Linked DNA regions of Macaca fascicularis. The protein of the gene in region 1 binds, or shares a complex with, the protein of each later gene. Links are inferred from orthologs where the notes say so. Each region holds a gene or a part of one and is shown on either strand. Other genes may lie near its edges.

Region 1 (4,477 bases):
GTTTGTACCCTTTCTATCTTTTTAATTAAAATTCCATTGATTAGACTACTATATGAATATTTATAAAACCAACTATTGATCTTTTAATTTTATCATTTGCGTTATGTGTATTCTAACTTATTAATTTCTGCTTGTGTATGGCTGTTACTTTATTACCTATTATCTTTTGTTTTCTGTAGTTATTGTTTCTTACCCAAAGTCTTGGGTTAAATGTTCAGTTCCTTCACTTTCATTCTTTTTATCGAGTGAAAGGAGATAACACTATGACTTTATCTTTGAGCACAACTTTGGCTAAATAAAATACACACTCTTAAGAGGCTTGTGTCTAATCTGTAACTATGGTTACTCTCTATTTTTTGATAAAAAGATCATTGATTTTTTTCTTTTTTAAAAATGTCCCATTGGATTTTATTTAATCTATTATTAATTGCACTTTGGCCATTAAGTAGATATGCATAATTTCTGCTTTTAAAATTTATTGAGATTAATCCACAAATATTTGAAAAGAAGGTTTATTCCCTATTTTGGGGTACAAAGGTCATTCTTAGCTATTAAAACATTGTTGTTGATTATTTTAAAATACTCTGTATCCCCGTTTTTGTCTTTACTCAATCTATTAAAAGGATTTAAAATGTGATTAATAAGGTTCTTTTAATACATATACAATGGACTTTGTACTCTACAAATAGTGGTATGAGTATGGCATCTTTTGTTTTCCAAAAGTAATGCTGATTTTACTTATATATATATATCACATTGGACTTTTAAATTGAAGTTTGACAGGAGTTCAGTTTTTACATGAACTTTTTCTCATTTGTGTCCTAATATTTTCATTTTTCATCTTCTTTCATGATTTTTTCTTCTGTTTGTAAACTGACAGTAAATGTGTATAAAAGTTCAGCTCTAGACAATCCTGATGTCAAGTGTAATTACATGAAAATATTTTATTTGATAATTTCCATGATTTATGTCAGGTCATAGATAACATGATTCAGTATAAATGGCACCAGACCAAGATCTGCATTTAGCTCAGGGAAAAAAAAAACAAAAACCTATTTCCTCTCTCTGACTCTCATCTTTAAAATTCTATTATTCTACAAGCTGGATTTACTTACAATTAGACCTTACTGAACTTTATAGATATATAACCAGGGAGAACCTGATACATAAATATATTCTTAACATGAAATTTATTTTACTGATTGCTTAAATACAAAAAAAAAAAGTTGCTTCTTAAAGGTTTGAAAATGAATAATTATTGTTTACTTACAGCATTCCCACCAATGACGTCCTCAAAGCCAAGTGTGGACATTCCAAATTTGCCTTCCTCCTCCTCTTCTTCCTTCTCTGTCTCACCTACATACTCCATGACTGTAATAATCTCCATCATGTCCAGCTTTGCAATATTTGCGCTTCTTACCATCACTACTCTCTATTGCTGCCGAAGAAGAAAACAATGGAAAAATAAGAAAAGGTGAGATTCTAGTTTCAGCTAACCACGTGTAGTAATATTTTAAAACCTCATGTTTAATATGGAGTTGGTATGACGCGAGGAATATATATGACACTGCAACTCTCTAAATATATCCGTAGCCCTGCTTTAAAATTAAGCACCCCCATCACGATCTTTACAAATGTCAATGACTTTTTGGCATAGGATCAAATCAAATGCCCTAGGGTTACTGTTTCACAAAAGGTAAAATCTAAACAAGAATTTGGAGGAAAATGGCTATTCCTGCTCCTTGTCTTCTCTCTCAGGCCAATTGCCATTGCTGGCTTGGAGAGCTAAACATTTCTGAGAAAATGTGCCTTTTGACTCTAGACCACAAACAGAATATTTTATTGCTCTCAAACCGAAGGATCTTTGGCTGCCTAAGTATAATTTGTTTTCTTTACTCTTAAATGCCATATTTCTTAGAATCTAAGTCTAAGTACAAAGATCGTACCTACCTCTGAGCTCATTCCTGATCTTGCCTGTCTTGCCTGCAGAGAATCAGCAGCAGTAACCCTCACCACACTGCCTTCTGAGCTCTTACTAGATAGACTTCATCCCAACCCCATGTACCAGAGGATGCCGCTCCTTCTGAACCCCAAATTGCTCAGCCTGGAGTATCCAAGAAATAACATTGAATATGTGAGAGACATTGGAGAGGGAGCGTTTGGAAGGGTGTTTCAAGCAAGGTAAAGTTATGTTTGGAAAAACAGTCTCCATTGAAATATGTTATGTCTGAAAAGCTACCAAACTATTAGCTTGGTATATATATAATATTAGCTTTATATATATATATATATATTATATATACTGTGTATATATTTTTTTATATATATATATAATATTAGCCATTGGTACTCAGGGCATAATCACTGGGTCTACACTCAGACTAAGAAGTCATAGATGGGCGTCTCTTGTAACCTCCAATTTTGCAAGTGTCCTATTTCAAATGGCTTTAGGCATCTACTGCCATAAAGGTTTTATTTTGACTTTGTAATATGTTATATTAATATATCCCCTTATATTAAATCATTATAATTATATTAAATCATCATAATATATGTAATATATATTATATATATACACACACGTATATATCAAGCTAATGATATAGTACATATATGTATAATGTGTGTGTATACACACACATATACACATACACACATACATATATACACACACAGTGTAATATACAGTATTATATAGTATTCATATACTATATAAAAAGTTTTTATCAAATTAGTTAATTCTGGCCAGGTGTGGTGGCTCATGCCTGTAATCCCAGCACTTTGGGAGGCTGAGGCGGGAGGATCACCTTAGTCAAGAGTTCAAGACCAGCCTGGCCAACATGGCAAAACCCTGTCTCTACTAAAAATACAAAATTTAGCCAGGCATGGTGGTGAACACCTGTAATCCCAGCTACTCGGGAGCCTGAGGCAGAAGAATTGCTTGAACCCGGAAGGCAGAGGTTGCAGTGAGTCAAGATTGTGCCACTGCACTCCAGCATGGGTGACAGAGCAAGACTCTGTCCCCCGCAAAAAAAAAAAAAAAGACTAGTTAATTATTTACATCATTACATCATTAACCTTATTTGTATTACATAATACACTTCAAATCTTAATTTCTCCTCTTTGCTGGAAAATAGTAGTATATATGGAGATAATATATTTTTTTGCATTTAAAGTAAGTAATTTATGGGAGATGTAAATGTATCTTCACTTCTACAGTTTTCAAATAAGAAATTAGTAATACAGTTCAATAATATTTCCTTTTCAGGAAAGAATTTATCATATATTTTTAATCATAATTTCTTACATTGTTTTAAATAATAACTCCTTACATTATAATATAATGTGTAGATATTAAGTAGATGTTCATGAAATGACAAACAGAAAAGGAATAAAAAGGCAAAAATTTATAAAACAATGAGCTCAAGAAAGGAGTATGTATTAGGGCCAATATTAGCCTATTTATCACCTTTGCGTGAACTGGAATAAAATACCCTCTCTGCTGCATGGATGTGGCTCTACAGACACACAGCTGAGCCAGAGAATATGAATTTGGTTTTAATCTTCAACTGTCACTTTGGCCTGGTGCTCTTGGGGAAGACACAACTTAATCTCCACTCATGGTGGCCCTGGCATAGAGGTTACATACATAATGAAAATCTCACACAAATATGTATTGGAAACCAAAATTTGCAAGGCACCACTTTAGGCTCAATGGAGGGTACAAAGATGCACTTTAGGCTCAATGGAGGGTACAAAGATGAGTAAGCCATGGTTCCTACATCATGGAATTTAGATTCTGGACAAAGATTAAAAGGTTAAGATATAGCTGGGCACAGTGGCTCACACCTGTAATCCCAGCACTTTGGGAGGCCAAGGTGGGCGGATCACGAGGTCAGGAGATCGAGACTATCCTGGCTAACATGGAGAAACCCCATCTCTACTGAAAATACAAAAAATTAGCTGGGCATGGTGGCAGGCGCCTGTAGTCTCAGCTATTCGGGAGGCTGAGGCAGGAGAATGGCGTGAACCCAGGATGTGGAGCTTTCAGTGAGCCAAGATTGCGCCACTGCACTCCAGCCTGGGGGACAGAGCGAGACTCCATCTCAAAAAAAAAAAAAAAAAAAAAAAAAGGTTAGGATGGCAATGATAATCCCATTGGGGGTGTATACTTTAGAATTCCTATAATTTGTAAATAATGCATCTTTCAAACTTCATTGTTTGAAATTATTGAAAATAACACCAGTGATTTTTATTAGTTGACATCAAGGAGTTTCAAGTATGTTTTCTTTGATCCTATGGCTCTGGGAAAGGCTGCACGAGCCTTTTACACATGGGAAGTGGGAGGATATGTATAAATGTGGTTAGGTATAATGGGAATATGTATGATGTCCATGATCTTTGGTTTCTTTTTCAATAAATGTATCTCTCAGGGCACCAGGTTTACTTCCCTATGAACCTTTCACTATGGTGGCAG
Region 2 (4,477 bases), on another chromosome or scaffold:
CAGGGGGGAGAATGAAGGAATGAATGAGCAAGAGGGACATGAAGAAATGAATGAGTAGGCAGAGAATGAAGGAATGAATGAGCAGGAGGGAAATGAAGGAATGAAGAGCAGGGGGAGAAGGAAGGAATGAATGAGCAGGTGGAGAAGGAATTAATGAGCAGGGGGAGAAGGAATGAATGGATGAGCAGGCGGGGAAGGAATGAATGAATGAGCAGGAGGGAAATGAAGGAATGAATGAGCAGGAGGGAAATGAAGGAATGAATGAGCAGTGGGCGGGGGAAGGAAGGAATGAATGAGCAGGGGGAGAAGGAAGGAATGAATGAGCAGGGGGAGAAGGAAGGAAGGAATGAGCGGTGCGAGAAGGAAGGAAGGAATGAGCAGGGGGGGAAGGAAGGAAGGAATGAGCAGGGGGGGAAGGAAGGAAGGAATGAGCAGGCGGGGAAGGAAGGAAGAAAGGAGCAGGAGGAAGAAGGAAGGAAGGAGCAGGAGGAAGAAGGAAGGAAGGAGCAGGAGGAGAAGGAAGGAATGAATGGGGGGAAGGAAGGATGAATGGGGGGGAAGGAAGGATGAATGGGGGGGAAGGAAGGATGAATGGGGGGGAAGGAAGGATGAATGGGGGGGAAGGAAGGATGAATGGGGGGAAGGAAGGATGAATGTGGGGGAAGGAAGGATGACTGTGGGGGAAGGAAGGATGACTGTGGGGGAAGGAAGGATGACTGTGGGGGAAGGAAGGATGACTGTGGGGGAAGGAAGGATGACTGTGGGGGAAGGAAGGATGAATGTGGGGGAAGGAAGGATGACTGGGGGGGAAGGAAGGATGACTGGGGGGGAAGGAAGGATGAATGAGTGGGTGGGGGGGAAGGAAGGATGAATGAGTGGGTGGGGGGGAAGGAAGGATGAATGAGTGGGTGGGGGGGAAGGAAGGATGAATGAGTGGGTGGGGGGGAAGGAAGGATGAATGAGTGGGTGGGGGGGAAGGAAGGATGAATGAGTGGGTGGGGGGGAAGGAAGGAATGAATGAGCAGAGGGAGCCAGCAGCCCCCACACATGCATGGAAGCCTCCTGAGCTCTCCCACTGGAGACTTAGCTGAAGTCCCACAGCCCAGGCCAGCCCCTGGCCCCACCTCCACTGCCCGGCCGGCCTGCATGCGAGAGGAGGCTCAGCCGCTTCTCCAGCTGCAGGGTTTCCAAGGCTTCCTGGGCCACGCGCTCCTCCACAGTCGAGGGTCCCGGGGGACTTGGGTCTGCAGCAGAGAGAAGATTCAGTGGAGGAAGTGGCCCCCACCGCCCACCCTTGCCCGCAGGCACCAGGCCCAGCCTGACGCGGTGGTGGCCCCCTCCGTGGAGTGGCAATCCCCTGGGAGTCCCTGCTTCTCCCCATGCCTCAGCCCAGATGCTGGGCCTCAAATGCTGCACCCACACCACCCCTATCCAGGCCACCATCCGCCCTGCTGGGTCCCTGCACCCATGGATGGCCCTGCCACCTGTCCACTCACCAGGACCCCACGCCAGACCCCTCTTCCTCGCCACGGAGGTTTTCAATTTTTTGTTCCAAAAATGGCCAGCCCCTCCCCCATCCCCAGGGCCAGTCTCACTGCAAGAGGGGCTGCCTGCCCCTGATTCACAGTGCCCATTTCTCACAGGCTCCTCTCTGCCTGGGGAAATGCCCGCCCACCTTGTGGTGGTCCCATTCCCTGGGGCCTTGGATGGAGCCTCATACTGTGCCTGAGGCTCAGAGCACAGTGGTCTGCGGACCCTCGGCCCCACCCAGCCCCTCCCTCAGGGCTGCATCCAGGGAGCAGCAGCCCCACCCTCTCTGGTCATCGTCCCTGTGTCCTCTGGGTCCTCTGGGACTGAGTGGCAGGAAACCTCCCTTCTCACTGGCCCCTCGGCACCGCTGTCCCGAGCCTCAGCATCACCGCCCTGGTCCCCAAGCCCCCCGCCCGTGCTGGGATGTCCCGGGCACTAAGTGATGTGGGCACTAGGCTGAGTGGCTGCCGTGCTCCAAACAGCAGGGCTCAAGACCCCGCCCCTTCCACATCCATAGCACCCACGGCCACAGCCGCCCCAAAGAGGTTCCCTGGCAGGGAAGCCACAGCTACAAGCACAAGAGCAAACCGACCCCGTCCTGCTCCAGGTGGCCTCCTCTGGGCCTCCAGGACACACCTCCTGCCACCCACCTTGGGGGCACCTGCAGGACTGAGCCGAAACAGGCCCAAGGACCTGCTCTCCCCAAAATCCAGGAGCAGTGGCAGCATGGAAAGTTTACACCAAATCCTGCAGCACAGAGGACTGGAAGGTACAGTCCCCAGCCTGGGACACCTGGATCAGAGCCTCGGTGGACAGAACCGAGCCTGGCGGAGGTTGGAGCCGGACATCCTGACCCCGTAGTCAGGGTTCCGGAGAAACAAACAGAAAGCAATGGTGTCCCTGTCCGGGTTCACATCTAGGCTGAAGAGGCCCCATCCCTGATAAGACACTGTCCTCTGCTGACACCTTCAGGCGCCCAGCTGGGGCCCTTGAGCACAACAGGAGGCCCCATCAGGACCTCAGAACAGGGCTCTCCCCATGGGCAGGCGAGAGCTCACAGCACCCGGCCCAGGAACGCAAGAAGGACCTGGAGGAGCCTCCCCCAGCCTCCGGGTATGGCCGTCCCAAGGCACTGCCCGGGTCAGCCTGGGGCCCTGCCAGCCCATGACCCTGTGGCCCCATCTGTAGCATTGCCAGGGACAGGGATGGGGCCAGTACAAGCCTCTCTGCTGTCCCCTCCCTACCTGTGCCTGGGAGGGTGGAAGGCAATGGCAGCCAAGGCTGTGCCAGCTCAGGCCCCAGTCCCTCCCAACACAGGCTGCTGGTGGCCATGGAGCCCACAGGCCACTCGGCTTGGCAGCTCCTGGCGCTTTCACCGACACATTCTGCCGCGTGGGCAGGACAGCAGGCGCCAGTCTTGGCTCCTTGGTGTGCTGAGGGTCCAGGCTGAAGACAAGCACAGTGACAGGACAGCACCGCTGTCCCTCAGCCCTCGGGTGTTCCGACCAGGGCCCCCCACAAAGCCAGTGCCCTGCAGTTGGGATGAAGAGCGGCCCTCGGTGACACCAGGGTCAGGACACAGGACACAACCTCCCACCGTTTCCCATCCAGTAGCTGGTGGGCAAGACACAGATCGACTCCCAGCTCCACCATGCACCCCCTGAGCCTCTCAACCTCATCTGCAAAAGGGTGCAGCAACGGTGCACCCCCGTGGAGGCTGGGCCAAGAAGGTAACATGCACGCTGTGCTCGGAGCGTGGCGGACACCGGGCCTCTGAGCCCTTCCCTCCTGCTGCTGGCTGGTCTGGCTGCCTCTGGGCCTTGGTGTCCACGTGCAGAAGACCAAGGGGCTGGACCTCCTGCATCTCTCGGCCCCTCCGGTGGGTCACAGCAGACTCAGCACAGGAGGATGGCAAAAAGCCCAGAGCAGGCCGGGCGCGGTGGCTCAAGCCTGTAATCCCAGCACTTTGGGAGGCCGAGACGGGCGGATCATGAGGTCAGGAGATCGAGACCATCCTGGCTAATATGGTGAAACCCCGTCTCTACTAAAAATACAAAAAACTAGCCGGGCGAGGTGGCGGGCGCCTGTAGTCCCAGCTACTCGGGAGGCTGAGGCAGGAGAATGGCGTAAACCCGGGAGGCGGAGCTTGCAGTGAGCTGAGATCCGGCCACTGCACTCCAGCCTGGGTGACAAAGCGAGACTCCGTCTCAAACAAACAAACAAACAAAAAAAAAAAAAAAAAAAAAGCCCAGAGCATGAGGATGCTGCCCGCAGGGCTTTGTCGTGGGAGCCCTGTGATCACAGGGCGCCAGTGTTTTGCCAGCCTGGGCAGACGACCCCACCAGCCCAGACCTTCCCATGACTCCAGCCTGCAGGGGCTGGGCCCACGGCTCCTCCGGCGGGGTGCTGCCCAGCATAGTGTCCCAGCTCCACCAGCACCTCCAGGTGGCCTGAGGCCCCCACACACCTGCAGAGGCACAGCTGGGAGGCACAGCTGGGAGGCACAGCTGCAGGCCGAGGCCCTGACAGCAGAGCTTTCTGAGAGCTCCCAGCTGACTCTGACAAGGACATCCTGTGGAGTGGGGTCTGGGACTTCTGGTCAGCCCAACTCCCTCCAGCTGTCAGCAATGACCCTGCCTGGGGCTGGCCCGCTTGCTGCCGCGGTGGGGCCTATCCTGTCTAGTGGCTGTCCCAGGCCGACCCTCCCCAGCATCCTCTACCCAGTGCTGCTTCCCTGGCACGGCCTCTGTTCCCTGGGAACCGCCTGAGGGGAGCAGGAGAGAGCGGGGAGCAGGAGAGAGCGGGGAGCAGGAGAGAGCGGGGAGCAGGAGAGAGCGGGGAGCCCTCCTCAGCCTCCTGCCGCCTCTGCCTGTCCCTGTCCCCGCCCTGCACCCTGCACACCCTCGCCTTGCACAGTCGAACACGCCGACCATGTCATCCATGCCAA

What was found. The genes of interacting proteins can lie anywhere in the genome.
Region 2: the proteins of MUSK (region 1) and DOK7 are in contact, whole or in part, in a crystal structure (PDB 3ML4), measured with the Mus musculus proteins. The link is inferred for Macaca fascicularis from reciprocal best matches to the Homo sapiens genes MUSK and DOK7. Residues at the interface, in NP_035074.2 of Mus musculus: Leu547, His548, Pro549, Asn550, Pro551, Met552, Tyr553, Gln554, Arg555; in NP_001335203.1 of Mus musculus: Leu154, Ser155, Asp156, Leu157, Arg158, Arg159, Tyr160, Gly161, Gly172, Thr173, Arg174, Ser193, Asp197, Val200, Arg201.

The regions. Positions count from the first base shown.
Region 1 is NC_088389.1:47,325,358-47,329,834, reverse strand, and holds part of MUSK (muscle, skeletal receptor tyrosine-protein kinase), read left to right. Parts: intron 1-1,272; coding exon 1,273-1,474; intron 1,475-1,989; coding exon 1,990-2,181; intron 2,182-4,433; coding exon 4,434-4,477.
Region 2 is NC_088379.1:3,716,330-3,720,806, reverse strand, and holds part of DOK7 (protein Dok-7), read right to left. Parts: intron 2,977-4,477; coding exon of another isoform or gene 2,775-2,976; intron 1,245-2,774; coding exon 1,125-1,244; intron 1-1,124. UniProt on the Homo sapiens protein: Probable muscle-intrinsic activator of MUSK that plays an essential role in neuromuscular synaptogenesis. Acts in aneural activation of MUSK and subsequent acetylcholine receptor (AchR) clustering in myotubes. Induces autophosphorylation of MUSK.